2 linked regions of the Mytilus edulis genome follow. Each later gene encodes a partner of the first gene's protein in a complex. Links are inferred from orthologs where the notes say so. Each region holds a gene or a part of one and is shown on either strand. Other genes may lie near its edges.

What was found.
Region 2: the proteins of lysosomal dipeptide transporter MFSD1-like (region 1) and glycosylated lysosomal membrane protein-like are in contact, whole or in part, in a cryo-EM structure (PDB 8R8Q), measured with the Mus musculus proteins. The link is inferred for Mytilus edulis from reciprocal best matches to the Homo sapiens genes MFSD1 and GLMP. Residues at the interface, in NP_080089.1 of Mus musculus: Val288, Glu292, Lys293, Arg295, Phe349, Phe351, Leu411, Asp412, Lys414, Gly415, Tyr416, Leu417, Leu418, Val421, Ile424, Ser428, Leu432, Val435, Leu439; in NP_064387.1 of Mus musculus: Glu250, Asn252, Ser253, Ile254, Asp255, Asp256, Glu257, Pro260, Ala261, Phe263, Gln264, Arg292, Phe364, Leu367, Val368, Ile371, Met372, Ala375, Ala378, Leu381, Met382, Gly385, Phe389.

The regions. Positions count from the first base shown.
Region 1 is NC_092346.1:89,248,520-89,252,452, reverse strand, and holds the start of lysosomal dipeptide transporter MFSD1-like, read right to left. Parts: upstream 2,756-3,933; 5' UTR 2,595-2,755; coding exon 2,447-2,594; intron 1-2,446. Other genes in the region: BPTF-associated chromatin complex component 1-like, read left to right, coding at 2,875-2,892. UniProt on the Homo sapiens protein: Lysosomal dipeptide uniporter that selectively exports lysine, arginine or histidine-containing dipeptides with a net positive charge from the lysosome lumen into the cytosol.
Region 2 is NC_092347.1:64,502,958-64,506,890, forward strand, and holds the start of glycosylated lysosomal membrane protein-like, read left to right. Parts: upstream 1-873; 5' UTR 874-939; coding exon 940-1,029; intron 1,030-2,941; coding exon 2,942-3,226; intron 3,227-3,933. UniProt on the Homo sapiens protein: Required to protect lysosomal transporter MFSD1 from lysosomal proteolysis and for MFSD1 lysosomal localization.

The sequences.
Region 1 (3,933 bases):
TATGAAGCATCCAGGTCGTTTACCTTGAAATACTAAGCTTTTAAGTCAAGAGCTGCCAGATCACAAAGACTTGCTTTAAGCGACAGAAGTTGCATAGGAGACAAAAAATATCAACAGTGACTGGCGTTTGTTGTATAGTTAGTTAACATAACCTCACAGACTTCTTGATGTAAACAAAATATACAGCCATTCAATGAAATTTACAAAAAAATGACACGATAAGACAAAAAAAAACAATTTTTATGAATTTATCCAAATGTATGGTTGAAATGTTTCACCAAACAAGGAAAGTCAGTGGTTCCAAATCAACCAAAGGCTATGAATGATTCTGAAATGACAATAAAGTTGTGAAGGACAGTTGGGAAATGGAGACCTAAACGCAACAACCAGCAGGCAGGTTGCAGTCATTTCTTGAAAAATGTACTCAGTATACCATTTCAACAAAACAGATATTCCATTCACTACCCTCTCTTTAGTCTAAACTCTATAAAAACATTAAGAAACCCAAGAATAGTTATACAAATATCAACAAGAGATTTGACATTGACATCCCCCCCCCCCAAAAAAAAATCAGACTTACATATACTTCATTTTTGTCAAGCCTTCGACTTTAGTCAAAAAAACGAGACTAAGCGATCCTACATTCTGTCGTCATCGGTGTCGGCGGTGTCCACAAATATTCACTCTGTGGTTAAAGTTTTTGAAATTTGAATAACTTTCTCAAAAGATCCTGGATTTCTACCAAACTTGGACAGAAGCTTGTATATGATCAAAAGATAGTATCCAGAAGTAAATTTTGTAAAAATAAAATTCCATTTTTTCTGTATTTTACTTATAAATGGATTTAGTTTTTCTGCTGGGAAATATTACATTCACTCTGTGGTAAAAGTTTTTAAAATTTAATAACTTTCTTAAACTATCCTGGGTTGGTACCAAACTTAGACAGAAGATTGTTTATGATCATAAATAGTATCCAGAAGTAAATTTTGTTAAAAAAAAAATCCATTTTTCTGTATTTTACTTTTAAATGGACTTAGATTTTCTGTCAGGAAACAATACATTCACTCTGTGGTAAAACTTTTTAAAATTTTAATAACTTTCTTATACTATTTTGGATTTGTACCAAACTTGGACAGAAGCTTGTTTATGATCAAAAGCTAGTATCTAGAAGGAAATTTTGTAAAAAAATAAATCTATTTTGTATTTTACTTTTAAAGTGACTTAGATTTGCTGCGAAACAACACATTCACCATGTTCACCATGTTCACTCTGAGGTTTAACTTTTTAAAATTTTAATAACTTTCTTATACTATTTTGTATTTGTACCAAACTTGGAAAGAAGCTTGTTTATGATCAAAAGCTAGTATCTAGAAGGAAATTTTGTTTTCTTCTAGTTTTATAACATTACATTCAGTGTGCAGTTAAATTTTTCAAACATTTATTACATAAACTATCCTGGATTTTTACCAAACTTGGACAGAAGCTTCTTACAATCAAAAGATAGTATCAACAGGAATATTTTATTGATTTGTTTCCTCATTTTTGTTGAGCTTGCCATAAACAGAAAGAGTAGGCGAGACACTGGGTTCCGCGGAACCCTTACAATTTTTTTATACAGTTAATGCTCAATAATTTTGTTGGAAATGTCTTTTCTAAATAAGTGGGCACGATTATTGTTTTCAACCAAGGTACAGCCAGATTTTTTTTAAAGCAAAAACAGGTCCAGAATTTCTCTTCCTTAAAATATCTGACCTCCCCGACAATCAAATGGTCCGTACCTTAGACTTCTATTTATCTAGAGATTACTGAGTGGGGATCATTATTCAGCAATTTTATTATAATAATAATGGGCTGGGCAGTAGGGTTAACATGTTTTTGTTGGTAAATATCATAGCTGTGGAACTTTTTTTCATCATGTAAGTCATTTAAGTGTAAGAAAGTATTACCTTCTTTTGGGTGGAATTGTGAAATAGGAATCAATACATCCTTGCTATATCCTTTGTTGCTTTGAAGGTGTTACATGTTATACTTGTCATCCACAGCCTTAGCAATGTGTTACTATATATAGCTAGTATTTGATTTTCAAAAAGAAACAGTGACGTTTTTACAACGTACTGGTTAACTCCACCGTGGCATATTCACTATGATGTAAATATGAGCTAAATATCTTTATGAGTAACAAATTGTCGCATGAAATATAGGGGCAATGGCAAAGTTAATGCAATCTAGTCTTATGAAAAAAAGTGCAAGTTAAGATCTAGAGGGGCTTACAAACTTCTTCACCCCCCTCTGGCAAATGATTAATGTCTGGATGTGCCACTACTTTCCATTGTTAACTTGCTGTAAGCATCTGAGCAAGAAAAAGAGAAAACATAATATGTGAGCATTGTACTTCAAAACACTTACAAGTTACACAGTAACATAATATAAAAATATATATACAAACCAAAGCTTAAGAAACACATGATAATCAAAATCAGATATCTGTGTAAAAATCTGAACGGATTGCAGCAAAGTGTTTTTCCACATCCTGTAAGTTTCTCTTCTTCTTCGTCAGAAGACCCTAACAGTGGCTTCTTTTCACTCTCTGTCATTTTGGTAACTTTTGTGCTTGTGACAAAGTGACAGAATCACATGATTTTTCAATCTAAAAATAGAAAATAAATAAAAATAGTCTCTAAATTTTTTTACACAAATGAAGAAACCTATAAATTCTTACAAAATTCTGATATTCAAATATTTGATTCAGTGAAACTATAACAATAGCAACAATAAGTACAAAAAAATAATCAAAGATTGTTTGGCAGTTTCCGGTTAAAAGTGTCAACATCCGGTGAATAATTTTAGCGGCGAAAACGACTTGTTGTTTGCAGAATGAGTTCTGCAAGCAAGGTATTGAAAATATTGCATTCAAAATTATATATCTTATAGTAAAATGTGAAACCCCAATCATTCACTGAACAACTTATATCTCCACAAGCGCATTTATTTTATATGCATGTAAACTACGTTCACTACGAGACGTTTCGCCCTACGCCTACGGCTAGTACCACTACCAGAAGCAGTTCTTCAATCTTCCATAGGTCGTTTCGGTCATAGTCGTTAAGGTCACGGCTACCAATTCAACCAAATTCGATTCGGACTTCTTTTAATTTTACCATCAGAATCAATCTCTGATGATCTCTCCATGTCTTAAGACTGGAATACAATTTTTCCAATTTGTGAGATTATTTTTTCAGGTTCATTTATATTTTTCCAATCTTCAAAAATTTGTTTAATAGCTATACATAGGGATAGTGATTTTATATGATTTTATTTTTGCAATTTGTCTTATACCAGCTTCTTCTCATTTTCTGCTGCCATTTTGAATTGAAGTATGTACAAATGTATGTACTTCGAGATTCTGCCAATATAGACGCACCCCTTGATTGACTGCAAGCTTATTACTTACCTGGATTTTGACGTGCATTTTTTTCCAGTCTGCAGAAGATAGCAAAATAAACAAACACATAAGTTTCATTTGATCCATCTATTGTCCATTTAAATCAATACTTCTCACAACATTGATTATATGAGAAAAAAGTAAAATCACAAAAATACTGAACTCTGAGGAAAATTCAAAACAGAAAGTCCTTAATCAAATGGCAAAATCAAAGGATAAAACACATCAAACAAATGGACAACTGTCATATTCCTGACTTGGTACAGGCATTTTCAAATGTAGAAAATGTTGGATTGAACCTGGTTTTATAGTGCTAATCATCTTACTTTTATGTCAGTCGCATCAAATTCCATAATTTTGACAACTATCATGACTATGTGTGAACAAAACAGACATAATCAGTAAAATAGTCAAATTATGGTTACGACAGTCATCACTGTGTTACCATCTCAAGACAAACAAACATGTATATACAAAAAACACAAAAAGCA
Region 2 (3,933 bases), on another chromosome or scaffold:
ATTAGTGAAAAGGTTCGGAATAATTTTTCCGTTACTATGCGCAATTTTCTGCGACTGTCATACAAGTGAGAGGATTGGCTAACCATAAAACCAGGTCCAATCCACCATTTTCTGCATAAGAAAATGCCTAGCTGAACCAATTCGGAATATAACCGTTTTGTTATATATTTGTTTGATTTTGCAGTTAGATTCCGGAGCACCTGAGACCACCCCTAGTTTTTTGGTGGGGTTCGTGTTGTTTATTATTTGGTTTTCTATGTTGTGTCGTGTGTGCTGTTGTTTGTTTGTCTTTTTCGTTTTTAGCCATCGTGCGTTGTCAGTTGTTTTGGATTTATGAGTTTGACTGTCTCTTTGGTATCTTTCGTCCCTCTTTTAAGGACTTTCCGTTTTTAGATTTTGTCGGAGTCGGTTTTTTTTTTTTTTTTTTTTGTTGCTTTACTTTTTATTACCACTTTCTTGAAACTTTTGATTCACTCATTTATTAAATAATTGTTTTCCTGCTAAATTTTAATATTAAAAATTTAAAATACACATTTTTCACGGTCTCCTTCTATACTCTTTTCTCCTTTCTCCTGCCCCTTCTCTCCTTCCTCCCCGGTGCCCCTCTCTCCCTTCTCTATCTCCCCCTCTATCTTCTCCCGCCCCTCTCTCCCATGCTCCCAATACCCGGTCCAGGCCCTCAAGACTTAGGGTCGGCAAAATATTTTGTGAGGAATATTTTTTAAATGGACCATTACGAAATTTAACTTTTTACTTAAAACTTAATTTATCTATTTCAAAACAATATGTTTTTAACCTCTGACAGTTCATTTGAAAGAAAAAATAAAGTTCTTTTCAGTCCGTTATACTTTAAAAGTTTTATGCGGGTATAAAACATACCTTTTGGTTATCACTTGACGCTCAGCTGATAATGAATCATGTGATCATCACAGTTTAAAGATGGCGGTAACCGTAACATTTGTTTCAAAAGTTTTTTCAGTTGTTCTGCTTGTTATTGTTCTATTGGAGACAATAGTTGCATTAAGAACGGTAAGACTATGATTTTGTTTTAAGACGAAATAATATATTTCAATTATTATTGTCAAATAATGAGATATATGAGAGAAATTTAAAACCAAGACTAAAAAAATATTCGGTATTAGAACTTAAAATTTATACATGTACGGTGCAGTCGGTGTATCCGCGCACCTATATGTAAGACTTATGAATTCACTTCATTCAACTGATAAAGCTAATAATACACCTTATCGCTAATCCCGGCTGACACTGCCGCTTCAACTTTTGACATCAACAACAATTACTTTTCCATAAAATTTGTGGCGTTACAGGTATATTTTGCTTTATGATGTCAAAATTTTACGGGAACCTGCGTGATATCCAGTAATGGTGGACAAATAGCGATAAGGTGTATTGGATAATATTGTGTGAACACATTCATAAGATACTTTTATTTCATAAAAATATCTGTTTGTATGGTTTCACCCTTAAGCATGTTAAGATTTTGCGGTCTCACTAATTAGCGACAACAAGAATTTTAGCGACAACAAGCGTCAACAAGCGACAAGAAGCGACAACAAGAATTATTTTAGCGACAACAAGCGACAAGAAACTATTTAGCGACAAGAAAACATTTTTTTTTTTAATCAAAACTAATTATTGCAATAAATATTAAAAGAACATGCAAAAGAAAATAATTTTAGCGACAAGAAAGTTAAAATTGATAAACATTATTTACATAATATTTTATCATCTATTATGAATAACAGCCAGTATTACGTTTAATTATTGTATTATGAAATTACTTTTCCTTGTGTTTTAGAACATATTATTTATCTTATAATTTGTTTTTTAAAACTCTTTTCGTGCAATATGTATTAAGCTCGCAAAATGAATTACTTGTGCATCATTGTCCTGAAAATATTGACACAAATTGTGAAATGCAAAGAATTGAAACCAAACAGGAGGATAAGAATTAATTCCTTCTTAATGAATTTCCTAATTAATGATCATTAATACTCCAGTAATAATAATAATAATTAATGATATGAAACACAAATTGTGTTACAATATCTCCATTCGTTTATTCATACTTTGACTTTGATGAAAACAGATACATACATTATCTTATACATATTCTTCATATTTAAAAATAAAAAAAAAAGAAGCTCAATCTCTTTCTTTTTCACAAATGTTAAATTTCTTCATCTACCAATATACTAATATAAACTTTTTAATTAGACATATCTGCTCGTATATTTAAAAAAAAACATTAAATACAAATTTCTTTATATCTAATAAAAAAAAATGTTTTCTTGTCGCTAAATAGTCTTCTTGTCGCTTGTTGTCGCTAAAATAATTTTTGTTGTCGCTTCTTGTCGATTGTTGACGCTTGTTGTCGCTTCTTGACGCTTGTTGTCGCTAATTAGTGAGACCCAGATTTTGTGTAATGTGTGTCCAAAATTAGGAAAACTCCTGTTCTGAGAGTTCCTCAAATGTCCTGTGATTTCGCACATGCCTTCCAAAAATAGCTTATTTTGAATATAGGAAAGATTTCTGCTACGAAATATAGCTGAATTTGAATCAAGCACACTACCAAGGATGCAGAGCAAAAATTATTTCAATTTGATATAAATTTGACTTAAAATAAAACAAATTTTATCTGATAATGCATTTTTTTTTAATGGAAATTGGCCAAATATTATTTAACTCTTGAACGCGGACATCTGGGACACAAAAGTCACAGGTACTTGAGGACAGTTGATTCATTTGTTCATGTACATGTACATGTTCATGTAGTATGAAAAAAGTCTATTGGAAAATCATGTTTATTCTGCACTCATTTTTTCGGTTATATAATGCTGAACAGTCTAGTTTAGTAGTTCTGTATATCATGTATATGATACAATTGTTTAGGCTATAAAAATATGTGATTCAATTATAGATACAAACTGAATTAAATCCTGGGTGTGATGACACAAAGGAAGATTGTGCAGGAGGAGTGGCTTACATCAAAGCTATTGGAGATCAAAATACATTCCATTATATACTCACAGCCATTGGACCTCCCACAGTCCTGGTCATCAAGACGGAGAAAACAACAAAAGATGCAGGAATAAGCATCAATTGGGACAACTTTAAATCAGGCAATATCACAGAAATGGAAAATTCAATCAAACTAGATCCAAGTTATAAAATACTGTATTCTTATGGAGTTGTCTTTACAAGGGTAAATCTAAATCTGTAATAATATATGTTTGTTATTAGTAAAATTATTTCATTTATAGTGGGGCATAGGGAACACTTGAGACTTTGCGCAGAAACTGAATGCATAACCTTGCTAACTATTTGTTTAATTAAATTAATATTTTTGATTAATGTCAGAATGAGACAAGGCTATTAAGGGAGAAACTTAGCTGTGATAACAAGGCTAGGTTATTTAAGGAATATAACTTATTATATATGACACTTGGGAATTACAGAGAATCTTGCGCTGAACCTCATTACATGCTCGGGTAATTATTTCTTACAATAAATTAAAATACATTGTAATTAAGAATGATTTATGTCTGAGCAAATGCTTTGAAGTGAGATAGAGAAGCTGTGATAACACTCTTTAGTTATTACAGGCATAATTTTTCTGTAATAACATATAGGTGTACCATGCAAAATTTGCAAACTATGAACTGTTATATCTTTCAATAGTTAAGTATACATATAGACAGAAGCAATATCAATAGAACTTTTATACATTTTAACTAGAGTAATGATATATATATTGTCCTTTTGAAACATGTAACATACATGTAACATACGTATGTTATCACAGTTCTTTGATTTTTTAGTCCACAATAACAAATGTATGTTATTTTTCTGTATTAACCCTATAGAGTTATATCCCTGACTGCTTCAATTAGATTAAGTCAGTTTCTTGAA